Linked DNA regions of Macaca fascicularis. The protein of the gene in region 3 interacts with the protein of the main gene of each other region in a pairwise test. Links are inferred from orthologs where the notes say so. Each region holds a gene or a part of one and is shown on either strand. Other genes may lie near its edges.

Region 1 (4,059 bases), on a different chromosome or scaffold from region 3:
GAATATTTAGCCAACAGTTCTTGCAAAATTAACTGACTTATAAGCAAATAGTAATTTCAACACCTCACTGCTAATGCTGTAACAGAACTCTGCAGACCTAGGGAGCAAGTACGGATTGCAGAGCACTGGGAAGGCTCTGAAGTGACCTTTGAACTGGGCCTCAAAAAATTTTGGGTTTGGCAAAAGCCAAACCTCTTAGGCTTCAAATTCTAGGCACAAGGATTGTTGGGTTTGACTTCATTATCCAGAAACAATGAGGATACAGAATTGTGATCTCACGTGTAGAGAATTGTGGGGTTTTTTTCTACTTTAACCCCAGTGAGACTTCGTAGAGTATGGGGTAGAGAAAAGGCTCATGAATATGCCTGAAGCCTGACTCAGCACCTTCCTGAGGAACTGACTGCCAAAACGGTAATGGAGAGGGGAAAATATGACCTACTTTCACAAGTTACCTTGACTGCCTCAGGGAAACCTGCTGTGGTAGTGTTTCTTCTGGGTAAAAGACAGGGTAGCCGAATAGTTACCTGGGTGCTGGTGTCAGACTTACGTTTTGAATCCCTGTTTTAACCACTCACTATCCATGTGACCTTGGACAAGTTACCTAACCTTTCTCTTACTGTCCTTTTCCGTAAAATGGGGATAACAGATAGTAGTTATTTCTATGAGTGGTTATGAGAACCAAGCTATTAGATACTGGGAAAGCACACAGTAAGCGTTCAAGGAACTGTTATTGTTATTAAAAGCCTCCTTCGGAAGAAGGACATCGAGGCCCAGAGAGAGAAAAGAACGTCCAGCCACACAGCAAATCCGTGATGAAATTGGGACTGGAGTGTGGGTCTCCTGAGTCTCAGTTCAGGACTCTTATCCCTCTTCCCGAGTCCTCGGAGTTCCTGGATGGAGTCACATTTGTTCACGGCCAGGGAGGAAGGTTTGATGGAGGCCTGCAGGAAACAATAGCCAGGCGCAAAGCCTTCGGGAGTTGAAACATAGCTTCTGCGAGATAGAAACAAGGTTGACGTGGGCACTCGTGCAGAATGACGGGCTCCTTTTGGACTCTGAGGACTACAGCCCCTTATGCACTTCGGGACTGCGGATAGCCCCTGCGTACGGAGGAACGCGTAGACTTTTCCCTGCCCCGCCCTCCCGGCGCGCCCGCCTCCGAGGCCGCCCTCGCTTAGTCCTTCCCAGCAAGCTCCGCGCCGGCGCCGGCTATTGATTGGCTGAGGCGGGAGCAGGCGGCTCGCCGGCAGCGGTTACTCGGGGTTTCCGGTGCGAGGCCAGAGCTGGGGAAGCCGTCGGACGTCGGCGGTGAGGTACGTGCCGTGGCAGCCGTTGGGCGAGACTATTTGAGGGTGTGCGGGCCGGGATGTTCTCGGCCTGTGGGGAAATCACGCCAACTCCGCGCGTGGGCCGGCGGCCGGGACGGGGGGAGGGGGGGTGGCCTGCCTGGGGGGGGGGGGGGTGCGCATGCGCGGGCGTGCCTCGAGGCTGCAGGGCGCGCAGGGCGTGGGTGGCTGCGAGCGCGGGGGGCGCACGTGGGGCCTGAGGGGCGGGGGCGGCGCCGGCGCCGGGAGTCCCGCCACGTCAGTCTCCGGCCCTGAGCCAATCCCGGGCCCGGCCTGCCGCGAGGGGGCCGGTTGTGTAGAGAAGTGGCTCCAGGGAGAAAAGAGGCCCCTTCCCTCACCCGCTGCGGGAGCTGCGCCCCGAAAGCCTGTCCCGGCACGCCGGGCTCCCCTGACCCTCCAAGACCCGAGAGCCGTTGGCGCCCTCTGCCAGGGCCGGCCGGTCCGTTTAAGAAGCTTCGTGCGCCTGCTGTGGGGATTTTCTGATCCAGGCTGCGAAGAATTTCGAAGTCTGGAAAATAGCAACTGTGTTTGTTTCTAAAGGATCTTCTCCTGACCCAGCATCTCTCATCACAATGAAGAACCAAGACAAAAAGAACGGGGCTGCCAAACAATCCAACCCAAAAAGCAGCCCGGGACAACCGGAAGCAGGACCCGAGGGAGCCCAGGAGCGGCCCAGCCAGGCGGCTCCTGCAGCAGAAGCAGAAGGTCCCGGCAGCAGCCAGGCTCCTCGGAAGCCGGAGGGTGTGTGCCAGCTCTGCGTTGCCAGCGGGCAGGGGGTGGAGCTGTGGGGCCGGCCTCGCTTCTGGACTTAGAGGCCGAAGCCAGGTTGTCCGGGAGGAGGGAATATAGAATGAGAGGACAGTGCTGGGGCCGCGGTCACCCCCGAATTCTGGCGAGTTGGCGGAGCCGCTCCCTGTAAGCACAGGAACAGAGTTCTGGAGAGAACCTCTAACGGGATTAAGTCAGGTGGCAGCCAAACGGGGCACCCAGTCAGGAAATCCAGGTCCGGTTTGAAACACCTCAGCCACTAGCAGCTAACTGCCCTTCCTGTTTGAGGCATTTCTAGAATGATCTGAATGGTAAAAAATGGTTTTGTGAGGGGGAAGGAGATGGACTAGAAGTTGCACCATGCCATCCCTGTGTGCTGATGCTTTACATACTTTTATGATCATAACAAACATGTTCGAGTGGTAGTGAGAAATAGTTGTGTCATTTTACAAGTAAACAGAAGTGAAGCTTAACTATATTATATTACTATAATTTCTTGATTCAAAAGATGTTTCGAATTTAAATTCTGACAGGAACTAGATTTGCTGAATAATACTCCATTCTTGCTTCTCAGTTTCCATAAAAAAAGAAAAGTTAGGCAACATTTAACTCAAACTGATGAGTTTGGCTGGACCTGAAAATTCCCAACCAGTGGTATAATTTGTCTTGTTTCTCACTCTACCCCTCATCCTCTCCTGCTGTAGGGGCTCAAGCCAAAACGGCTCAGTCTGGGGCCCTTCGTGATGTCTCTGAGGAGCTGAGTCGCCAATTGGAAGACATACTGAGCACATACTGTGTGGACAGTAACCAGGGGGGGCCTGGCGAGGATGGGGCACAGGGTGAGCCAGCTGAACCCGAAGATGCAGAGAAGTCCCGGACCTATGTGGCAAGGAATGGGGAGCCTGAACCAACTCCAGTAGTCAATGGAGAGAAGGAACCCTCCAAGGGGGATCCAGGCACAGAAGAGATCCGGCAGAGTGATGAGGTCGGAGACCGAGACCACCGAAGGCCACAGGAGAAGAAAAAAGCCAAGGGTTTGGGTGAGCAGAGGGTGGCTCTTTGTGAGGCTGGTGAGGGGAGGGAGTTTGGACTTGACGTTCTCTGGACCAGTCTGTTCCGCCAGGATTCAAAGGAAAACGGTACTTCTCAGAACAGCAAGTCACTCTAGTGTAATCAAAGCCAGGGATGTGGGGGCCACGGCATAGAGAGATGCAGGGGTTCCCAGCACAAGGCCTTCTGGCTTTTGGAGCAATTGGGGGTTGGAATGGGACCTGTTCTCTCTTTGAGAAAATGGAGATGGGAGGCCAGGGTGGGCTCCTGTGCCAGCCAGTACTACCTGCTGTGTGATCTCGGGTGTGTCCCTTCTCCTCTCTGGGTCTTAGTTTATACTTCTCTTTACAGTAAGAAAATTAGACTAGGCTGGAGTTGAAAACCCAAATGTCTGCATAAGCTGGGCTGGCCATGGGGCCACATGAAGATGTAGGCTACTTTATCCAAAGACTTTACTGCTTCCTGATTAGTTGCTCTCAACTAGCCAACTGAGAGCAGGCAAAACTGCAGGCTGGGTGCAGGCTTCTTTTATTTTTATTTATTTATTTATTTATTTTTTGAGACAGTCTCGCTCTGTCACCCAGGCTGAAGTGCAGTGGCACGATCTCGGCTCACTGCAAGATCTGCTCCTAGGTTCACACCAATCTCCTGGCTCAGCCTCCCAAGTAGCTGGAACTACAGGTGCCCACCACCACGCCCGGCTAATTTTTTTTTGTATTTTTAGTAGAGACGGGGTTTCACTGTGTTAGCCAGGATGGTCTCGATCTCCTGATCTCGTAATCCGCCTGCCTCAGCCTCCCAAAGTGTTGGGATTACAGGCGTGAGCCACCGTGCCCAGCCTTCTTTTATTTTTTTAATTATTTTTGTTTGTTTGTTTGTTTTTTGAGACGGAGTC
Region 2 (3,500 bases), on a different chromosome or scaffold from region 3:
CTCATATCCAGTAACATTTTGTTTGCAAGGTGGCCAGCCCACACTGGGAGCGTGGTCTGAGTTGGTGGACTGAAACAGACAAATCCCTTAACTTTGAGAAAATAAAAGAATTATCTAACATAAAGCTTAAAATTTCCCAACCCTAAGAACGATTTTTTTTTTTTTTTTTTTAAAAGACAGAGTCTCCCTCTGTCACTCAGGCCAGACTGCAGTGGCGTGATTTTTGTCTCACTGCAACCTCCACCTCCTGGGTTCAAGAAATTCTCGTGCCTCAGCCACCCGAGTAGCTGGGATTAGAGGTGTGTACCACCATGACTGGCTAATTTTCATATTTTTAGTAGAGACGAGGTTTTACCATGTTGTCCAGGCTGGTCTCGAACTCCTGACCTCAGGTGACCCACCCACCTCGGCCTTGCAGAGTGCCAGGATTATAGGCATGAGCCATCACGCCTGGCCCAACCCCAAGAATGATTCTGATACTCTTTGTAAGCCCTCAAGATGGGATTGTGGTTGATTTTCCATTTGGCCTTTGAAATTCACTCCTGACCTAACTTTGAGATCAGAAGCATCCTGAGAAAGTAAGCATGAAAGTTCTGATATGTGTGTTCACATTCCTGTTGTAGGCTGTCACCTTGAACTGTGCCCACAGTTTCTGCTCCTACTGTATCAATGAATGGATGAAGCGGAAGATAGAATGCCCCATTTGTCGGAAGGACATTGAGTCCAAAACGTACTCTTTGGTTCTGGACAATTGCATTAATAAGATGGTAAATAATCTGAGCTCAGAAGTGAAAGAACGACGAATTGTTCTCATTAGGGAACGAAAAGGTGAGTGGGTGTGAGAATCCCTACCCCTCAAGAAAGGACTTATTTTTTTTTTTTTTTTTTTTTTTTTTTTTTTTTTTGGAGACGGAGTCTGGCTCTGTCGCCCGGGCTAGAGTGCAGTGGCCGGATCTCAGCTCACTGCAAGCTCCGCCCCCCGGGTTTACGCCATTCTCCTGCCTCAGCCTCCCGAGTAGCTAGGACTACAGGCGCCCGCCGCCTCGCCCGGCTAGTTTTTTGTATTTTTTAGTAGAGACGGGGTTTCACCGTGTTCGCCAGGATGGTCTCGATCTCCTGACCTCGTGATCCGCCCGTCTCGGCCTCCCAAAGTGCTGGGATTACAGGCTTGAGCCACCGCGCCCGGCCAAGAAAGGACTTATTTACTTCCAAACTTCAACAAATTTTTTTTGGAAAGAGTCAGATAAACAATTCTTGAACTAGGGAAGAGGTGGAATAAATGGGGAGGAGTAAAAGGAGTTAAAGAGAGTCTGTGAGAGGAAGAGTTGAGATAGAATTAACCTCAACTGTTATTTGAGCAGCAGGGAAGTGGGAGGCTAAGCATGTGTGCCTTGGTTGTGGGGGTAAAATAAAGATGTGATTTTAAAAAACACACACAGTCAGACGTTTTGCTGTACCAATCACTAGATGGTGCTGTTGTCAAGACACTTCCGTTGCTGTCCAGGTGTTGAAAAAACCTTGAGTATACAGTGAGTTATAAATAGGATAGTAGGGCCAGGAATCTGATGCTGACTTGCAAGCAGCTGTGGTTTGAAACTGGCCCTCGGTTGGTCAGCCAGAATGGAGGCCGCAGGCTTGTCACAGAGGCGGAGCAGGACATGTGTCTGTGCCTGTTATGCCCAAGGAATACATTCTGACCTGTGGGAGGGCAGAGCGGCCTTTGAAAGTTGGCTCTTTGGAACTGAAGTTTTACCACTTTACTAACAGCTGTATGCTACTGGGTTTTGTGCCTAAATGTAAGCCCCCACAGAATTTCACCTCCAAGAGCTACTTGATTCTGGCAGAATCCCATTGTTCTTCCTTTTCACCTCCCATCACTCCATAAGCATTTATAGGAATACTACACTAGGCCTCAAGAGAAAAAGATAAATAAGACATTATCTCATCCCTTACAGCATGAACAGTCTGGCGGAGGAGATAGAAAGGCAAATAGATAGTGTGATGAGTTCCTTATCAGGGTGCTATGAAACTTCAAAGGAGGGGACACATCTGATTTGGCCTGGGGAGGTGCAGGTATGGGAGAAAGCTTCATCAAGGAAATGACATTTGAATGAGCCTTAAAGGTTCCCTAGGCGGTTAGCTTTCTAAGCGGAGACAGTAGCACAAGCAAAACACAGAGGCATGAGAAGCAGTGACCTGCCCTGCCCCAGTTCCCAGTGTGGCCCCTACGAGACATAATATTCACATGATGCCAAGGCTTAGAAAGTATCTATGGAGGCTTTGCGAATGTTTTTTCTTCCCTCTTTCCCTTTTTGAGAGGAGCAGTGATCTGGGAACCCAGATCTGGCCAAGATCAGGTTGTGGCCTTTGAACTGAAGTCTGCTGAGTCGGGGGATGGGGTTGGAGGCAGACCTAGGGACATCCATGGGCTTTCTTCGCCCAGTCTACCACCTGAGTTCCTTCCCTGCAATCTAAGCATGGTAAATGGCTTCACAAAACATCAGGGAAAGAAAAGGCTGGGCACGGTGGCTCACACCTCTAATCCCAGCACTTTGGGCGGCCAAGGTGGGCGAATCATGAGGTCAGGAGTTCGAGACCAGCCTGGTCAACATGGTGGAAGCCCATCTCCACTAAAAATACAAAAAGTAGCTGGGTGTGGTGGCACACACCAGTAGTCGCAGCTACGTGGGAGGCTGAGGCAAGAGAATCGTTTGAACCTGGGAGGCAGAGGTTGCAGTGAGCCGAGGTTGCACCACTGCACTCCAGCCTGGATGACAGAGCAAGATTCTATCTCAAAAAAAAAAAAAAAAAAAGGAAAGAAGGGCCTTGGGCCCTGTGTCCTAAGTTTACGTCTGACTCCTATTACACAGAGTTAATTCTGCAGAGTAATAACAGATACCGTTTTTCTCTCCAAAGGCTAAAGAGGGTGTCTCTCACTTTTTTGGTAACACTAGGGGGCTACACAGTAAAATGAGTCAGCTTCCCTGTTAAATGCATTGGCTGGGAGCAGTTCTGGCACCCATCTTGGTTTCTGTAGTTATCACACCGAATGCAGCTTTGAAGTTTTCTCTAGAGACAGACAGGTTTTCTGAGACTTGATTTGGGGAAAGACATGCCAGAGCTATCAACAGCTTCACTGGGTTTAGAGAAAATTCTCGGTTTAAATACCAACCTTCCTTCCATATTCCAGGGCCAATTGAAAGCTGGTTTAATCCCTGTTGCATGGGAATTTTTAAAAAGGACCAAATTTAGGATCTGGGAACTAGGATTGGCAAGCTTATAATTGTCAGAGTCCTAACACTGCAGGCCCTGGAGCAGGAATTGCTCTTCTCAATTCAGAGGAGACCTGCCTGCCTGTGGCAGCAGGGGGTTGCCCATGCAGACATGCCTGTATTCTGGTTTCACCAAGAGCAGCCTCACTTCTAGGCCTCCTGGGCTGGTTATTGAAGTTTCATATGTCAGTGGGAGGAGTAGAGTCTCATGACTGATTAGCCATTGAT
Region 3 (3,500 bases):
AAGCACTGAAATATTTATTAAATTATGTCTGAGATTTGTTTTAAAATAAAGACAAAACAAGATGAGCAAAGAGTTGATAAACTGTTGAAACTGGATGATGGGTACGTTTGTAAATGTTTGAAATGTTCCATAATACAAAGTTATTTTTAAAAAAGATTGCCGAATAATTCACTTCAAATAATCAAAATAGAGCCTGGCTCTATGAGTAGGGCTCATTACAATTTTTCTATTAAACAAACTGCAATTTATCAGACCTTTAGCTAACAATTCAAACCTAATAATGACAACGAAAAAGTCCTGACAAAAAAAGCATTAGGTCACGCTATGCATTTACCTAGAAATCCTCTACCTGCTTCCTATTCTACAGTTTGCATACACACTACAAAAACATATGTGATTTCAGAAGCACAAACAGCATACTATATAAGGCACCGGGAGAGGAGACAATTTGCTTTAATATTGACTCAACTTTTGCTTGTAAACAAAGAAATGTACTTGTAGACTCTTTTCTAAATCTGAGAACTTTTAATACTTATTCGAATTTCTGATAAAGATCTGATACAAATTTTAATAGATAAAGAAAACTGTGCTTTAAGAAAATTAAAAATAAGTCTAATGTTTTGAAGTTTACATTTTTCTTGGCTAGGACAATTTAGACTGTCCCCTCAACTCTCATACTGAAATAGAAGATTGAAAAGTACATTATATCAACTAATATTTAATAAGTGCTCACAGTGTACCTAATCCTGTGCTAAGCAAAATGAAGGCACAAAAAATCAGTATTAAAAAAATCCCTGTTTATATATGTTCCTTCTAGTTGGGGAAGAATACAAGATATATCACTTAACAGTTAGAAAATAATAAATAAAACTAACAAGAGTTAGACGAGTTGGAGATGCAAGTGTACAAAAACTATATGCATTTATTCAAAAATCTCAGCTCTGTATCATTCTTTATATTGTCCTCATTACCTAGAGCAAAACAGGCACATTAAAAAGAAGTGGCATAAGAACCTTTTCTTATAATAAAGTTTCAGTTTTTTAAGGTACAAAGGAATAAATATATATATTTTTTGAGATGGAGTCTCGCTCTGTCACCCAGGCTGGACTGCTGTAGTACGATCTTGGCCCACTGGAACCTCCGCCTCCAGGGTTCAAGTGATTCTCCTGCCTCAGCCTCTTGCGTAGCTGGGGTTACAGGCACCTGTCACCACGCCCAGCTAATTTTTGTAATTTTAGTAGAAACGAGGTTTTGCCATGTTGGCCAGGCTGGTCTCGAACTCCTGACCTTAGGTGATCCACCCGCCTTGGCCTCCCAAAGTGCTGGGATTACAGGAGTGAGCTACTGCACCAGGCCCATGTATAAATTTTTAAAATAGATTCTGTTTACATAACTCATCTGTTTTGGATTAGGGCAGAAATAATACTCTAAATTACACTTCAGTCAGAAAGTATTCACATCCTTTACTTAATTACACCATTGATAATTCATCTGATATTCTATCATTCAATCAGAAAGAGTTTTCTCCAGATGGAAAACAGCTGAAAATATAATATAAAACAATATTTTAGCTTAAATCTCCCTTTGTGATAGATACACTGGAGCTCTAAATGCGTTAGATTCAATTTGCCACAGCTGCTCAAAGCAGATAACGGCAGAAAAATTATCTTTCAAGAAAAAGAACATATTCAAAACATTAACTGAAAACCAGTTAATACGTGTAGGGACTACCAATCATTGGATAATGCATACTTGGTTACAGAAATATAATGTACATAAATGAATCATTATAAGCTATCACTACTGCTAATGTAGGCTCTTCATATGTTCCCATGTTTTAGGAAGACCAGAACAAAATTAAGAGCAAATGTAGACAACTGCATAAGATATCTTCCTAAATCACTACTCTTCTGTTTAGGAAATCAGGCAGAATTAGAAATTAGAAATACAAAGAGAACACCTATTTAATTTTATATTTCTATCCTACTGTTATAACTTCAGGAATACTGCCCAAAAACATTTGGCATCCACTGTTAAAAATCCCTACACTCCAATATCTAACTAGAATGTTTCATCAGGTGCCAATCAGAAAAGTGAAAACTGTATATTGGATTAATTAGATAACTCTTAAACAATATATTTTCTTTGTGGTTGCATACCTTTCCTGAAGTCACAAATCTGCCACTGGTATCAACGCCAACAGCCTCTGCAGATATTTTCTCATTGCTCAGAGAAGGTTCTGACTTGCCAGAACTGATTTTCTTTCTTTGTTGTGATGGAATCTAAAAAAAAAGGTGTCAGTCAAAATAACAAATTTTGTGTGAAAGCATAATTATATATTAAAATTCCATTAACATTTAAATTTTCATATATGAAATATAACTGACAAATAATGAGACTATAATGAGACTACATGACTTTTAAAAACTAAGAAATAATGAAAATGCATTATGTTTGAACTATTAGTTTAACACTAGGAGTTTCCAGTCACAGGTGTATAAAACAAGAGAGTACTATTTAAAATAAACATCAAGCTTTATAAGGTTACTCAAATCTTTGAATAATACGGTAATTACACTATGAAATAATCTGCTGTCTAGGGTACTGATTTTATGTGTTAAAATACTGAGCCATCTATTAATATCATACATCAGCATTAAAATCTATTCAAAAGTTACCTTCTGAAGACTACTTAATTCCTTGTGCTTTTTCATCACACAATTCAAAATATCACAAACAATTTGGATTTTCCATTCTGCAAACCCACATTGGATAAACTGCTTTTTTGTCAAAATTGGTTTATAATTAAATTGATCACGAAGGAGCTGCAGAGGAAACAGACTCTTGTAGTAATTGGGAGCAATTTATTTCTAAAATTCCAAATGATAATGCCCACCTGGTCAGGGGAATAATGGCCACCTTTGAGAGGACAAGGAAAACCAAGCCATTAACTAAAGAGTACTAAAGTAATTTATAGGGCTGGTGTAAGTCACGATCCAGTAAGACAGGTATCAGGTGGAAAACAGGTAGCAAAGGATATGCTGGAGAACAGATGGCTGTCCAGAGAGATGGAAAAATATAGTCAATCATCAAAAAGTTTAAATATCTTCATAGACATTAGAAAAACTCCCTAGTTCACCAGAAGACCACACCAGAATCAGAAACTATAGTTCTATTTGTTTATAACTCTTCCACTATGTGATTTCTGGATAAGTCAGTGGGCCTTTTGGTCTCAAGTTTTCATTTGTAAAATGAAAAAAAAAAAAACCCACTAGATCAGTAGTTTCCTAAATCTACTCTGTGGAGCTCTAGAATTTCTTAAAAGTGCCTCTTAGCTTCCATGGATGTTTTCTGGGATGAAAAGCAAGAAAGAGAAAGATTAAACAGAGACTACATATAAAAACTCCCATTTCACTGACTGCAACTCTGCTTTTTTTAAAAGACTATTTGAGGTTGGGTGTGGTGGCTCGCGCCTGTAATCCCAGCACTTTGGGAGGCCA
Region 4 (3,084 bases), on a different chromosome or scaffold from region 3:
TAAATTTTATGTATTATTATGATTTATTTTACCAGTGTCCTGAAGAGAGGACAGAAAGATATATTCACAGCACTAGCTACTAATCCCTGTCTCAAATCCTCTTTCATAATAAGTCAGGGCATAAAGAAATAAGAAATGAAATCCAGCAGGCCATCATTTCTTTTTTGCATTTTTCATCATGGTTTCTCCTTCACTCTCAATCTCCATGTAAAGTCCCTATCCCATGAACTTCATGCCAGCCAGTGTGCCCCCTCTCCACCCGCCCCTGTGGCCACCACCCTCTGCCTCCTGCACTTCAGTCAGAGTCTGCAGCTCCACCCCAGGCCCCAGCATCAGGCTGGGAATTCAGCAAGCCTCAGAGGCCCCCAGCCAACTCCCCGGCCTCACAAGGCCTTCCTGTTCAGAGGCAATTAGGAAGTCTCGGTGTCTTTATCCCAGCCAGTTCCTCCCCACAGGGCCCGTGCCCTCTCTGTCACCGTTGGAAACTGCCCCCTCTAAATCACTGATTCAAACACTCCACACTGGCCACCACTTCCCGCCCCCCCCCCCCAACTTCAGCTCTCTGGGGATAGCTTCTCCTTGATGTCTCACAGACACCTACAACCCAAAAAGACGGAAACTGGAAGGAGTCAGAAACATACTCATGGATTTACATCCTTTAGTAGCACTTGTTGATGACAACAGCAGATATTCCTCAGCTGTGACACATTTTTGCCCTGGCTAAGCCTGTGAGGATCCCCTCAAGGCTCTGGGACCCAGTCTTCAGTCATTCTTTCCGGATTTGGGCATCTCATCAAACACAAAGCGGGTTCCATCACTCTCAGTGCGGTGGGGCTCATGGTGGTTGTCCACTTCTCTCTCCCCATCTTGTGAAGTGTTGCGCATCCTGCCATTGTTGATGGCCTCCAAGCCTACCTGCTCCATGATGTAGTCAGCAAGGCAATCGAGCAGGGTAAGGAGGATATTTATTGTGGAGGAACTCTGGCTTTGGGCATCTTGTTCATCTTGCACAACTCGGTCCACGAAGCTCATAGGGACCCGCAGCTCATTTCTAGACCGGTCTTGAATCTGGTTGTTATTTGCAGAGGAGTTCTTACGGTTATTTTTCTCTGACATGATATTTGCTGGGTTTGGCTCTGATCAGCTCTGCTTGATTCTCCAGCTCAAGTAAGTCTCTGAGGACGCTGGTGCTGCCTATTGGATCCCTCTGCTCCAGGCCCTGATTGGTCAGGGAGCTAGCTGCCTTTGTGACATCCCTAGGCTTTGTGATTTCACTGGTGTCCACTGGTCCCTGATCAGACCTCAGCTTAGAAATGTCTGTGACACTGATCTAGTCACCCTAATGACTGAACCCTGATTTTGAGGGAACTATAACTCTTTACCTGATTTTGACATTATAAAAATAAAAGTGTGTTTCAATGGAAAACTTTGCTCTATCTTTAGGACACCACTGCAGGTTATCTGATTCTAGCCTTACATTATCTGTGAAGTCTTTTATAGCCTTTTGTTAGTTGTAGGTGGCTGATACATGTACAGTATATTCTTTAGTAGAGGTTCAGTTGTCTTCACCTTATGAAACCAGTTTTGCCTCCATGTGCACAATCATTTAATATTACTGATGAATATTCCCATATCGACTCTTTGGTTTCCCTTTTGAAGCAGTCATAACATCTTTTTCTTTTAGCATGTGTTCATTTCGTATCTGTATGAGTGTCATGATTTTACCCTATTTGAAAAATGCATTTTATTTATTTTTTTATTTTTATTTTTTATTATTATACTTTAAGTTCTAGGGTACATGTGCACAATGTGCAGGTTTGTTACATATGTATACATGTGCCATGTTGGTGTGCTGCACCCATTAACTCGTCATTTACATTAGGTATATCTCCTAATGCTATCCCTCCCCCCTCCCCCCTCCCCACAACAGACCCCAGTGTGTGATGTTCCCCTTCCTGTGTCCAAGTGATCTCATTCTTCAATTCCCACCTATGAGTGAGAACATGCAGTGTTTGGTTTTCTGTTCTTGCGATAGTTTGCTGAGAATGATGGTTTCCAGCTGCATCCATGTGCCTACAAAGGACACGAACTCATCCTTTTTTATGGCTTCATAGTATTCCATGGTGTATATGTGCCACATTTTCTTAATCCAGTCTGTCACTGATGGACATTTGGGTTGATTCCAAGTCTTTGCTATTGTGAATAGTGCTGCAATAAACATACATGTGTATGTGTCTTTATAGCAGCATGATTTATAATCCTTTGGGTATATCCCCAGTAATGGGATGGCTGAGTCAAATGGTATTTCTAGTTCTAGATCCTTGAGGAATTGCCATACTGTTTTCCACAATGGTTGAAAAATATATTTTAATCATTTTTCAATTAATAATAAGATGCTCAATAAGTTTACCTGTCAGTGTCAGGTAAACAGTTGATAGAGAAGTGCATCTTGTGCTCAGTTTAAGCCCAGATGTATATTTCTTGTCTCTCCTAGGTGAAGCAAAAGCACTAACAGATGTTTCTTTTCTATTATTTAATTTTCCTTTCTAGTAATTCTGTGTTTTCCCTTTGACTTTGGTTCATTTACAGCCAATAACTTTGCCATTCCATAGGGGAAAAAGTAGAAAGAACAAAAGAGTCTTAAATCCAAACAATTTCAAAATCCAACCATTAGGTTTCAAGGCCTGGGAATATTCTATGACTTAAGACTCCTCCCTTTGATCACTCTGATCCTATGACTTCACCTGGGGTAATAAATCTGCCCTCTGGCCTCTAGGTTCTGCCCTCAGTCATTGTTCCTTTATTTTGAATGGTAGCATATGTTTACAGCTGAGTAGTTTTATCAGCCTGCTTTCTCCTGTCAAATTTTGGGAGTCCTATGGCCTTCTTTCATTTCTTCCTCTATTTGTCCCTTTCCGTCTAAGCTGGCATTGTTTCTGCTGATATAACATTCTCAAAAACTTATAGGTCTTTTATGTATGTCATGGGGATTCATGTGATTAGACAAGAGGTTTCTTCAAGATCCTTCATAGACAATCCCTTGCTTATTCTGAGAAGCACACCCCATATCTCTTCAAAACACCA
Region 5 (4,226 bases), on a different chromosome or scaffold from region 3:
ACAGTCCTAGACAAGGGTGGGACTCTCATCCATAATCCTAAACCACAGGGTGGGACCTGAACCCACAGTCCTTATGATGAGTTCAAAGACAATTAAAAGTACAGGTACGTATTAACAAGGTACTCACCAGAAAGATGTCTAATCCAGAAGCAATTTCTTTTCCCAAAGGAAAAGTGCCAAGGGAACCTGAAGTGCCATGGTAGAGAAGCAGGAACCCTATAGTTGAGCCTCTGAACGCACTGGTCTAGGTGGCTACTCAGGATCAGTGCAGGGGGCCTGCACACCACTAGGGGCAACAGTACCTTGAACAGGCTGTTCGTCTCACCTGGGGTTCTAGTTTGTTATCAAGCAAAAGGGGCTCACTGCCCAATATGCTAGAAGCCAATACTGACACCAAGTTTTTGAAAAAAAGAAAAGCTTTATATTAAAAGTCACCTCTGAAGGAGGCAGGAGTCAAGCTCAAATTTGTCTCTCTGTGCTGGCATTAAAGCAGTATTTTTATTGGAAAAGGTTCAGGGGGTGGATTCTGAGATTAGCAGGTGATTGGTACAAGGAAAAGGGAGGTCTGGAAAGTCCTTGGGCATGCACAGTTATTTCTTCATGTTAACTCCTGAGTTGCATGTGCAAATTCAGGGGGAATTAGTACAAAACATGTGGTGGAAATTCAGGCTACGACATCAGCAAGCTTATTGTGTGCAAGCTCCAGTCAGCCATTTTGGTTCCAACCAATTTCCGCCAGGTTTTTCTAGATCTCACAAGTGGAGGGAGTTTCAGCAGCTTAAATTTCTTTTCTTATCTGCTATCCCGAAACTCAAAAATTTCTGTTAGTTACTGATTTCTTACTCTTTGGGACTTTCCATATCTCCCATTTCCATCTACCAATCACCTACTAATCTCGGAATCTACCCCCGGAAACTTTTCTAATAAAAATACTGCCTTAATGTCAGCACCGAGAGACCGGTTTGAGTTTGACTCTTGTCTCCTTGGGAGTTGACTTTGAATATACAAGTTTTTCTTTTTTAAAGAACGTAGTGTTTTAGTATTGGCTTCTATTGCATTGGGCAGTAAGCCCCTTCAGCTCTATCACACTAACTCCAGGTAGATAGCATCAGAATGAAATGGAATTGTAGGGCACACAGTTGATGTCAGAGAATTAAGGAATTGAGTAGTGTCAGAAAACACCTCAGACTATACTTTCTCGCTTGGTGTGGGAAGAGTTCAGTTGTGTTTCCTTCTTCTTGAGTGACCGAACTCCAAGAAGACGCCACTTCTGGAGAGAAACTAGGGGTCTCAACTTAGCCTGGCAGTGAGAATACAAATGGCAGCTGGGATGACCCAACAGGGGGCTAATGTTTGAGCTATTGTGTGTCACACTGACCCTGACCGGCCAAGTAGTCACAGCCCCCACAGGTTCTTCCTGCCTGTCAGATGCCTCATTCCCACCTGTGATGCTCAGACAGAAACCATGAGCCCTGAAAAACACCCTATTGTTTTGTGATGTCACCTCTGGAATGTTCTGAGTGTTTTGGTGACCAACTTCTGCATAGGACCTATACCTGGCAACTCACATTGGTATGGCTTTTTACTTGAGATAGAAATAATCATCTTAGGCAAGCAGGTACAGTTATCTCCGCGTCAAAGACTTTCAAAAGTCTTTTACATCAACTATAATATCTAGCTTAATATCTGTTCAGAGATTGATAAACCGTCTTGCCAGATATCGTCTACACATTCTTCCAGACTTTCATAATTGTACATAACTGACAAGAGGGAAATAAATGAGGAGAAAGTTCTATGTTTTTTAGGTGAGCAATTGAGGCCCAGAGGATGAGTTGGGAAGCAGCAATCTTCTTCTTTTCTCTTTTCCACAGCACTCAAGGCCAAATTTTACAAGAAAAAGAGATACCAGATCTGAAAGCCTAGAAATTCCAATCAATGTGGTTCTACCTCAGGTAGGGATAATCACAGAGGATGTAACCTATCGGTGTTAGCCAGAATAACCCCCTACCTCCTCCTTCAAAACTCTAGCAAGATGTTGTAGAATAAGCAGAGATAGGGCTTCAGGTTCTAGTTTGGGTTGGCTGCCAGCAGGCAGCGTGCTGGGGAAGGCCACATAGCCCCTGTGGGCCTTGGGTTCTTTTTCCCACGAATGAGGTGGTTGGGTCAGATGGTTTGGTAAGAACTTCCAGTCCTAACATTCCAAGTTTCTATGATACTCTGAAGTAACCCAACCTTCTCAAAACGAGACCTTTTGGTGCTTAGTGTTGTGCATTCACTTTGGATTTCTAGAGGAGAATTAGAACTGGGACTTGGAATCAAATGCATAAGAATGAATCCATGAGAAGAAAACCTCCTTCATGGACAGAGGGGTACAGAGTTATTTGGAGTTGTCAAGAGAATTAAGCCCTGCTATGCACCAAAGACAGATGTAGGGGCCATGGGCATAGATGCTTTTGTGGTCAATGAATTGGTGAAGTCCTCACAGGCTAGAGATTCTCAGGTCTCCTCCTGCCTGAAATCAGCTCTTTCCTTAGTGGAGTCTTCTTGATTGAATTGTGTCTACTGATGCTATGTCACAAAGGGGTGGCTTTGCTTTCTCCAGAGTCACCTAAGGCCTCATTGGAAGACCAGGGCCATGCAACCAGAGGGGTTGAAATGTAGGATGGAGGAATCCAAAGCAGAGGTAACTATCTGAGAGCTCTGTCCAGGGATGTGTAGGAGGAGGATTGACCACTGGTGAGCATTCCAGATATAATTGTAACAATCTAGGCAAGTATGTTCAGTGGGAGGCAAACATATGGAAGAAGAAAACATCCTGGATGTTTATTTTCACATTATCTTTATAACTTTGTAATGAACAGTCACTTTTCTATGACTTGAATCTTAGCTAGAATATAAGATAACTTCCCCCTGATCATTCGACAGGATAACAAGCTGTAGGAATCTTTTTGGGCCTGATTCTTTCCACCTGAAATATGCAGGGAGTTGTGTTGGCCACTGCTTCCCCAAGAGTGGGTGTTACTGCTGTGATGCCTCATGGCCCATATAAACCAATCTTTTCTTCCAGAATCCTGGGGCCTCTCAACTTTACATGCTTTGAAAGTACCTCAGATGGCTGAACGTTCTCTGATAGTAACCCTCAGTAATGTTGGCAAAGTTGGTGTTTAAGAAACTTGGTCAGGCAGAGGATGCCAACCTAGAGGTGGGTGTGAAGGAGGGGATAGGATTTGAAAGAGTAGTGGTCATGTGATAGAGAAATTGGAATGATGTTTCCATCAACACCTACCGTAACTTTCCCTCCCCAGCTCCCAGAAACAGCCCAGCAATCAAAGAGAAGAGAATGTGGTTTAAGACAGCTCAAGCTTGTCTTGGGGCTGCCTGATTACTGTTCTGGAGGACCTGGTGCTGCTGCTGGGGTCCTGTGGGGGCAGAGTGGGTGAAGAATGAGAGGATATCTCCTGTCTGGGCATGTGTACCTCTCACGGGAAGGTGTATACACCTGCCAAGAGGGCACAAGCCATGCACCAGGTTTTGGACACCTGTCAGGATGCTCAAGACTGGCACTCTGGGGACGGGTGTGGGTGTCTACAAGTAGATAATCTGAACCAAAATACCACCAGGGCTGCGAGAGGGACCAATGTGCTCACTCGGCCTCCCTAGATGAGATGGTGCATGGCTTAGGGGACAGGGTTGATCTGGGAAGCAAGGAGAGGAAGAAATATCGACTGAATGTTAGTGCGATCATGTGTTGAGCACGGTGCCAAGTAAGTGTGAGGTAGAGATTTTACAGGTACAGGAACTGGCAACCCCAGGAACCCCACTAGTAATGGCAGAGATGGAGGAAGGGGCTTGAACTCCAATCAGTGCCCATGTTCTCCGCTATACCAGGGCACATGCCACTAAGCTGGGCCACGCTGCATCTTAGCTCTGTGGTTCTTCTTTTGCTCTTTGGAGATGGAGTCTTCTCCCCGCATCTTAACCGCTCATCTCTGGGCTTCTTATTTTGTATTTGCCAAAAGCTACTCTATTCTGGGATGGAATCCACTTTCCATTTGTTTCAGAAAGGACTTGTGGCAGCAGCTCTGTCTCTAGAAAGTGCCTCTGCTTCCCAGCTCCCAGTCCTGCTGTGTGTTTAGGCTTCTCAATTACATTGCAAATGCCTGTGATCACTACTTGTTATCACCCTTAGGTCTTTTCAGGACGCATTGATTTCCCGTTTTTCTTCC
Region 6 (4,005 bases), on a different chromosome or scaffold from region 3:
GGCCACTGCACTCCAGCCTGGGTGACAGAGCGAGACTCCGTCTCAAAAAAAAAAAAAAAAAGAATATGTATTTTATGTAATACCACATAAGACTTTTTTAAAAAAATACTTAAAAAGAAAATAAAAGAAAAAACATAATTTAACAGAGGGCATAGTTCTCAAACTGTTTTCTCTGTCTCAGGACCCCTTTACACACGTTACTGAGGATCCCCAAGAGCTTTTAGTTTTGTGGGTTATATTTACTATGGACATTAAAGTTGAGAAATGTTTTTAAAAAATACACAATTCCATTAGCTGTTAGAGCAGTGATGTCATCACGTCAAGCAGCCTCTGGAAAACTTGACTGTTCACTCTGAGAGAATGAAAAAGACAAGTAACATCTTAGTATTATTATGAAAGTAATTTTGGCTTCGGGGACTCCTAAACCGAGTGAGTTTAGGAAATCTCAGGGGTCCCCAGACGACACTTTGAGAACCGCTGGCCCAGGGGGAAAATGACAGAAGAAAACACACTACACGACAACAGTTATTCTCTCTCAGTGCTGGGATTATAATTTATTTGCTTCTTTGTGCTTTTCTGTTAAAAAAAAAAAAAAAAAAAAAAAAAAGGAAAGGAAAACAGAAATGGAAAATACAATGACCACGTATTGTTTCTGCGAACAAAAAATGAGACAGCACACTCGCCTCCCTAAGATTGTTGAAAGGCCCAAACAGCAATAGCACATTTAGCTGCATGGAAGAATTAAACTGAGCTCAAACCTGAAAATAAGAGTCCGATTTCCCGTTTGTCAATCCCTGGGCTGTGAAGTGCAGGGTCTTGCCCTCAAAAGCTCCACGGTTCACCTTGGGGAGAGAATGTACTCGCATACATACCTGTGCTGCAAGGTTCCCAGGGCCCCAAGGGCAGCGGTTGCATCCTACACAGTATTGTAAACTCCGGTGTGCAGCAAAACCACCCATCGCAGCTGCAAGCCGCTCCAAACCGCTCCCAGCCGCTCCAAGCCGAAGTTCAGCCCTCAAACTAGTCAGAGACCCTCCGCAGGACGCATGCGCGCTTACAAACGCAGAGTTAGGTGGGGCTTGAGGGAGACTGACACAGAGTTCGGCCTCTCAACTTTCTAGCTCCGCCCGCATGTCCTGTCTCCTTCTCTGAATGGCTGAAAGGCTGCGGAAGTAAGCTTCCCACGGGCCGCGGACGGAACCCACATCCGGTTTGCACAGCGGTCCCGACGGCGCGGAGGCAGCTATGGTGCGGTTCAAGCACAGGTAAGCATTCCCTTCCAGACCCACCCAGCGCCTTGCCAGGTCCCCGCGGCGCCGCTAGCGCCCACCTTCCTCTCGTCTGCCGCAGGTACCTGCTCTGCGAATTGGTGTCTGACGACCCCCGCTGCCGCCTAAGCCTCGATGACCGAGTTCTGAGCAGCCTCGTACGGGACACTATCGCCAGGGTGCACGGGACTTTCGGCGCAGCCGCCTGCTCCATCGGCTTCGCGGGTGCGAGAGCGTTGGGGGAAGAGGGGAACCCGGGAGGATGGCGGGACGTGGAGGGGGCAGGCGCCGGAGGAAGAAAGAAGGGGCACGAGTGGCCAAGCCCGTGCATCGTTTTTTGTAAGGTATCTCTTTAAGCGCCGGGGACCGCAAGCGAGAGATCCACACGAGTCCGAAATTAGCAGAGAGCTAAAAGGAGGGGCCCGAAGGCAGTGGGTCTTTGAGCTAGAGGCCTCTTTTTGCCTGCTTGACAGGTAATTTCTGTAATTGGTTGTGATTGAATTTGATAGGATAGAGAATTAAATGAGGGAAGCTGTGTCTAGTTCCTAGTAAGAGCTATTATGACCGATTACATTAACATCACATGGAAAAAAATTGTCGAAAGTATCCTTGGGAATGCCCTTAGTTGGTAAAGTACAGAACACATGATCGTCAATATATGTGAATACAGGATGAGCCGGGACAAAGAGGGGCCCGGGGCCCTTCTTCCACACCATTTATATTAGTTCCCCCTTTTACCTTGCTTGAGGATTGACTTCTGGAGAGTTAAATGCAGATAGGCTTAACTCATCCTTAAGTCAGGTGAGACTCAGCTGACTGCTACAAGAATTACAGAGCCCAACTGCAGTAAAACAGCCTATTTTTCAGGCGAGGGTTTTTCCTAAATTAAAATGGATCGCCTCCTACCTGCTCCTATTTATTGAATTAACTAGTGAATTAGAAAGCATTTTAAATCCTAAATTCATTCACCAGTTCTGAGTGGTGTGCAACACAGTGGGTGTTTTGGCTTTTCTCTTTTACTCGCTGATAGATCCTACGTGCCACTTGTGCTCTGTTACTCTAAAGTTTTTTTTTTTTTTTTTTTTTTTGAGACACAGTCTTCTGTTGCCCAGGCTGCTGGAGTGCAGCAGGGAGATCACAGGTCACTGCTGCCCCCACCTCCTGGGTTCAGGCGATTCTCATGACTCAGTCTCCTGAGTGGCTGGAATTACATGCATGCACCACCACGCCCGGCTAATTTTTGTATTTTTAGTAGAGACGGGTTTTCATCATGTTGGCCAGGCTGGCCTCGAACTCCTGACGTAAAGTGATCTGCCCGCCTCAGCCTCCCAAAGTGCTGGGATTACAGGTGTGAGCCACCACACACAGCAAAATTTTCCGAAATGATTTTTTTTTTTCCCTGTTGTAGTTCGATACCTCAATGCCTATACTGGAATAGTGCTACTTCGATGCAGAAAAGAGTTCTATCAGCTTGTGTGGTCAGCTCTTCCCTTCATCACATACCTGGAGAACAAAGGACACCGTTACCCATGCTTTTTCAACACGTTACATGTGGGAGGTAGGAGTGACGTGATATGGCTACTGATTTTCAATAGGTGACATGTTCAGAGTTCAGTCTAGACTGGTGGGTGGGTCTTCCTGCTGTCCCGCTAACAGGACACTTCCCCTACCTCTGAAAGTAAGGTCGAGACCTTTCACAAGCTGTTGACCGCAGTAACTCACATGCCAGGTACAATAAGAACATGTCAGAAGTTCCTAATTCAGTACAACAGGAGACAGCTGTTGATCTTGTTGCAGAACTGCACTGATGAAGGTAAGCAATACTAGCCCAGTGCCCGCTGAGCAGTGACTGACCTCGAGCTGAAGAAATCACTCCCAAAGACATCTTTCATCCCTATCTGCCTTCTCCAGGAGAGCGGGAAGCTATCCAGAAGTCTGTGACAAGAAGCTGCTTACTAGAGGAGGAGGAAGAGTCAGGTGAGGAGGCTGCAGAAGCAATGGAGTGACCCTCTGCTCACCACACAGCAGGCTACACTGCTCAGGCTTCAGGCCCACTTGTTGAACAGAACAATCTGGGTAGCAACAGCATCTTCTACAGTTTTCCAAGCTGGATAGCTGCCAACCAGTGGACATGTTACCCACTTGAAATAGAGTACTCAGTTAAACTGAAGTTGCCTTTACCTAGCATTCCCTGGTTAAGTGTTGCAGGTTGTGAACTCTGTAGACATCTTTATTGCTTGGCTAAGAGTAGATTTAATAAATGTATTTGGTTTCCGTGGCATTTAGTATACTTATATTACAAAAAGGGCTTATGGAGTCCATGCTTGGCCAAGTCTCTGTTCTCTATCCCTAGCCTTGGTGGGAAGAGTGACTCCCTGTGTGGTACTAAACTTTTTTATTGAGACAGTCTCACTCTGTCACCCAGGCTGGAGTGTACTGGCCCAATCTCCGCTCACTGCAACCTCCACCTCCCGGGTTCAAGCAATTCTCCCACCTCAGCCTTCCAAGTAGCTGGGATTACAGACGTGCACCACCACACCTGGCTAATTTTTGTATTTTTAGTAGAGACAGGGTTTTGCCATGTTGGCCAGGCTGCTGTTGAACTCCTGGCCTCAAGTGATCGGCCTGCCTTGGCCTCCCAAAGTGCTGGGATTAAAGGCGTGAGCCACTGTGCCTGGCCTAAATTTTCAATACTTAGCCTTCTACCTGAAGCTGTGTACCCCCGGCCCCAAGATGG
Region 7 (3,021 bases), on a different chromosome or scaffold from region 3:
GGATCTGCCCCAGCCAGCCTCAGTGAATGCCTCCTCCATGGAGCGCAGCACGGGAGCGAAAGGAGGCGGAGGAAGTGAACTAACATAACTTAGCGCCTGCTGTATACCAGACCCTGTGTTCGAAGCTTCTCGTCCATTTTCTTATTTAAACTTAATCCTGGCCGGGCGCGATGGCTCATGCCTGTAAACTCAGCACTTTGGGAGGCCGAGGCGGGCGGATTACCTGAGGTCGGGAGTTCGAGACCAGCCCGACCAAAATGGAGAAACCCGGGCTCTACTAAAAATACAAAATTAGCCGGGCGTGATGGCACATGCCTGTAATTCCAGCTACTTGGGAGGCAGAGGCAGGAGAATCGCTTGAACCCGGTAGGCAGAGGTTGCGGCTAGTGGAGATCCGGCCATTGCACTCCAGCCTGGGCAACAAGAGTGAAACTCCCTCTCAAAAATAATAATAATAAACTTAATCCTAAAGGCCAGGTGGGGTGGCTAACGGCCGTAATCCTAGCACTTTGGGGGACTGTGGAGGGCAGATCACTTGAGGTCAAGAGTTTGAGACCAACCTGGCCAACATGGCTAAAAATACAAAAATTAGCCTGGCTGGTGGTGCATGCCTGTAATTCCAGCTACTCAGGAGGCTGAGGCAGGAGGATCACTTGAACCCGGGAGGCCTCCAGGCTGCAGTGAGCTGAGATCACCCCACTGCACTCCAATCTGGGTGACAGAGCGAGATTCCCTCTCAAAAAAATAAAATAAAACAAAACAAAATAAACTTAATCACGAGAGGGTCCTTAGCACTCTTCCTTAATAGATGAAGCCACTGAAGCTGAAGTTCAGTGACTTGCCCAAGAGCCACCCAGCTAATAAGAGGTAGAGTCTGACTGTCCTCTAGTGCTGGATCTTTCAGGGTTTACTGAGCACTTACTATGCGCTAGCACACCGTGGGAGGACCAGGACAGGAGAGGGCTGGAGGAAGATTGCATGAGATGGGTGCATTCTTTTTATTTTCTTTTCTTTTGAGATGGAGTCTCACTCTGTCATCTAGGTTGGTTGGAGTGCATTGGCAAGATCTCAGCTCACTGCAACCTCCACCTCCTGGGTTAAGCCATCCTCCTGCCTCAGTCTCCTGAGTAGCTGGAATTACAGGCGTGTGCCACTATGTCCAGCTAATTTTTGTATTTTTAGTAGAGATGGGGTTTCACATGTTGGCCAGGCTGGTCTCGAACTCCTGACCTCAGGTGATCTGCTCACCTTGGCCTCCCAACGCGCCTGGCTGAGATGGGTGGATTCTGGGGCCCAGCTCTCGAGCAGATCCCTGACACACTGAAGGAGCTTCCTGTGCCACACTTACAGCCTTTCTGCTTTTCCCCCAAGATGAAGAGCTGCCCCTGCCACTGGACCTGCCTCCTCCTCCACCCCTGGATGGAGATGAATTAGGGCTGCCTCCACCCCCACCAGGCTTTGGGCCTGATGAGCCCAGCTGGGTGCCTGCCTCATACTTGGAGAAAGGTACCTGACTTCTGGGACTGAGGGGCACCGGATCCCACTTCCCAGCGTCTGCCTCTGTTGTCCTGACCCCCATTCTCCTCCCTCTGCAAAGGTGTGAATCTACCCCCCGGGCTCCCTACACAATTTTTCTGACGAACTGAGTTCAGAACAGAACTGGGGAGAGGGCAGCTGGCTTGGTATTAAATATTAACTAAGCTGGGGAGGGGTCCTAAAGGCTTGGAAGCCCCTCAAGATGGTCCCTAGAGTCTAGTACTTGAGACCCTGCATCCCCATGGCGGTGGGGGTGGGGGGGGAGAGGGCAAGAGGCATATCTCACAGCACCCTCTTCTCTTGCCCTGCAGTGGTGACACTGTACCCATACATCGGCCAGAAGGACAATGAGCTCTCCTTCTCTGAGGGCACTGTCATCTGTGTCACTCGCCGCTACTCCGATGGCTGGTGCGAGGGCATCAGCTCAGAGGGGACTGGATTCTTCCCCGGAAACTATGTGGAGCCCAGCTGCTGACAGCCCAGGGCTCTCTGGGCAGCTGATGCCTGCACTGAGTGGGTTTCATGAGCCCCAGGCCAAAACCAGCTCCAGTCACGGCTGGACTGGGTCTGCCCAGCTCTTGGGCTGTGAGCTGTGTTCTGTCCCTCCTCCCATCGTGGAGGGAAGGGGTCCTGCGGAGAGAGAACTTACCCAGAGGCCTGTTGCAGATGGGGAAGAGCTGGAAACCAAGAAGTTTGTCAACAGAGGACCCCTACTCCATGCAGGGCAGGGTCTCCTGCTGCAAGTCTCAACTTTGAATAAAATGGATGACGTCCTGTGACTGCCCCACGGAGATAAGGGGCCAGGAGGGATTGAAAGGCATCCCAATTCTAAGGCTGCTGCTAATTACAGCCCCCAACCTCCAACCCACCAGCTGCCCCAGAAGCAGCATCTTCCCATTCCCTCAGTACCCACAAAATGCAGCCCACATTGGACCCCAGACACCCCTCTGCAGCCATTGACTGCAACTTGTTCTTTTGCCCATTGCTTGCTGTGTGTGTGATGTGTTCATATGTGGCTGGGCACTTGCCCAAGAGTGGGAACCATCTCCCTGACTTAAGCGGGACTCTCCTAGAGCACCTCACTCTCAACTCAGACTGACGCGCCAGAGATCTCAGTCATTTCTTCCCCCTTCACCTCCTTTATAGTTGTAAAACACCAGAGGAAGGAGGGGCTTGGGTTTCGCTGGTTCTGCTTAAAAACATCATGGCTTTCTGTTCCATGGGGGTGGGGAGGGGGATGCGTGGAGGGCCCAGCCCGCAAGGGTGACTTTGGTAAAGTCCCTGGTCTCTTGCTGCATAGATGAGGCTGGGGTGCAAGGAGACACCGTCACACGCTGCGAGGTTATTGGCTGGCAGGACCCGGGCCGGACGGTGCGCTACCTCGTACCACCACCAGGAGGCGATTGTTCCCTCTGGCTTTTCCGTTGGGGGTGCTAGAAGGGAGTGCGGAGGTCGGGAGGCAAGAGGGTGTAGACAGCACAGAAA

Evidence for each region.
Region 1: the proteins of CEP44 (region 3) and TXLNA interact in binary tests that used the Homo sapiens proteins (3 or more experiments, as listed by UniProt). The two-hybrid records come from large-scale screens. The link is inferred for Macaca fascicularis from reciprocal best matches to the Homo sapiens genes CEP44 and TXLNA.
Region 2: the proteins of CEP44 (region 3) and RNF8 interact in binary tests that used the Homo sapiens proteins (3 or more experiments, as listed by UniProt). The two-hybrid records come from large-scale screens. The link is inferred for Macaca fascicularis from reciprocal best matches to the Homo sapiens genes CEP44 and RNF8.
Region 4: the proteins of CEP44 (region 3) and H2AP interact in binary tests that used the Homo sapiens proteins (3 or more experiments, as listed by UniProt). The two-hybrid records come from large-scale screens. The link is inferred for Macaca fascicularis from reciprocal best matches to the Homo sapiens genes CEP44 and H2AP.
Region 5: the proteins of CEP44 (region 3) and CBY2 interact in binary tests that used the Homo sapiens proteins (3 or more experiments, as listed by UniProt). The two-hybrid records come from large-scale screens. The link is inferred for Macaca fascicularis from reciprocal best matches to the Homo sapiens genes CEP44 and CBY2.
Region 6: the proteins of CEP44 (region 3) and POP5 interact in binary tests that used the Homo sapiens proteins (3 or more experiments, as listed by UniProt). The two-hybrid records come from large-scale screens. The link is inferred for Macaca fascicularis from reciprocal best matches to the Homo sapiens genes CEP44 and POP5.
Region 7: the proteins of CEP44 (region 3) and ABI3 interact in binary tests that used the Homo sapiens proteins (3 or more experiments, as listed by UniProt). The two-hybrid records come from large-scale screens. The link is inferred for Macaca fascicularis from reciprocal best matches to the Homo sapiens genes CEP44 and ABI3.

Annotation. Positions count from the first base shown.
Region 1 is NC_088375.1:202,849,163-202,853,221, reverse strand, and holds the start of TXLNA (alpha-taxilin), read left to right. Parts: upstream 1-1,259; 5' UTR 1,260-1,313; intron 1,314-1,884; exon of another isoform or gene 1,885-1,886; 5' UTR 1,887-1,918; coding exon 1,919-2,087; intron 2,088-2,818; coding exon 2,819-3,154; intron 3,155-4,059. UniProt on the Homo sapiens protein: May be involved in intracellular vesicle traffic and potentially in calcium-dependent exocytosis in neuroendocrine cells.
Region 2 is NC_088378.1:134,270,005-134,273,504, reverse strand, and holds part of RNF8 (E3 ubiquitin-protein ligase RNF8), read left to right. Parts: intron 1-623; coding exon 624-828; intron 829-3,500. UniProt on the Homo sapiens protein: E3 ubiquitin-protein ligase that plays a key role in DNA damage signaling via 2 distinct roles: by mediating the 'Lys-63'-linked ubiquitination of histones H2A and H2AX and promoting the recruitment of DNA repair proteins at double-strand breaks (DSBs) sites, and by catalyzing 'Lys-48'-linked ubiquitination to remove target proteins from DNA damage sites.
Region 3 is NC_088379.1:179,043,570-179,047,069, reverse strand, and holds part of CEP44 (centrosomal protein of 44 kDa), read right to left. Parts: intron 2,826-3,500; coding exon 2,679-2,825; intron 2,283-2,678; coding exon 2,160-2,282; intron 1-2,159. UniProt on the Homo sapiens protein: Centriole-enriched microtubule-binding protein involved in centriole biogenesis. In collaboration with CEP295 and POC1B, is required for the centriole-to-centrosome conversion by ensuring the formation of bona fide centriole wall.
Region 4 is NC_088395.1:37,930,048-37,933,131, reverse strand, and holds H2AP (huntingtin-interacting protein M), read right to left. Parts: upstream 1,889-3,084; 5' UTR 1,117-1,888; coding exon 763-1,116; 3' UTR 501-762; downstream 1-500.
Region 5 is NC_088391.1:24,906,511-24,910,736, forward strand, and holds the start of CBY2 (protein chibby homolog 2), read left to right. Parts: upstream 1-1,426; 5' UTR 1,427-1,497; coding exon 1,498-1,572; intron 1,573-1,871; coding exon 1,872-1,952; intron 1,953-4,226.
Region 6 is NC_088385.1:127,617,210-127,621,214, reverse strand, and holds POP5 (ribonuclease P/MRP protein subunit POP5), read left to right. Parts: upstream 1-1,205; 5' UTR 1,206-1,245; coding exon 1,246-1,265; intron 1,266-1,347; exon of another isoform or gene 1,348-1,350; coding exon 1,351-1,493; coding exon of another isoform or gene 1,494-1,612; exon of another isoform or gene 1,613-1,741; intron 1,742-2,676; coding exon 2,677-2,826; intron 2,827-2,947; coding exon of another isoform or gene 2,948-2,997; coding exon 2,998-3,081; intron 3,082-3,179; coding exon 3,180-3,274; 3' UTR 3,275-3,549; downstream 3,550-4,005. UniProt on the Homo sapiens protein: Component of ribonuclease P, a protein complex that generates mature tRNA molecules by cleaving their 5'-ends. Also a component of the MRP ribonuclease complex, which cleaves pre-rRNA sequences.
Region 7 is NC_088390.1:57,494,318-57,497,338, reverse strand, and holds the end of ABI3 (ABI gene family member 3), read left to right. Parts: intron 1-1,371; coding exon 1,372-1,506; intron 1,507-1,847; coding exon 1,848-2,011; 3' UTR 2,012-2,521; downstream 2,522-3,021. UniProt on the Homo sapiens protein: May inhibit tumor metastasis. In vitro, reduces cell motility.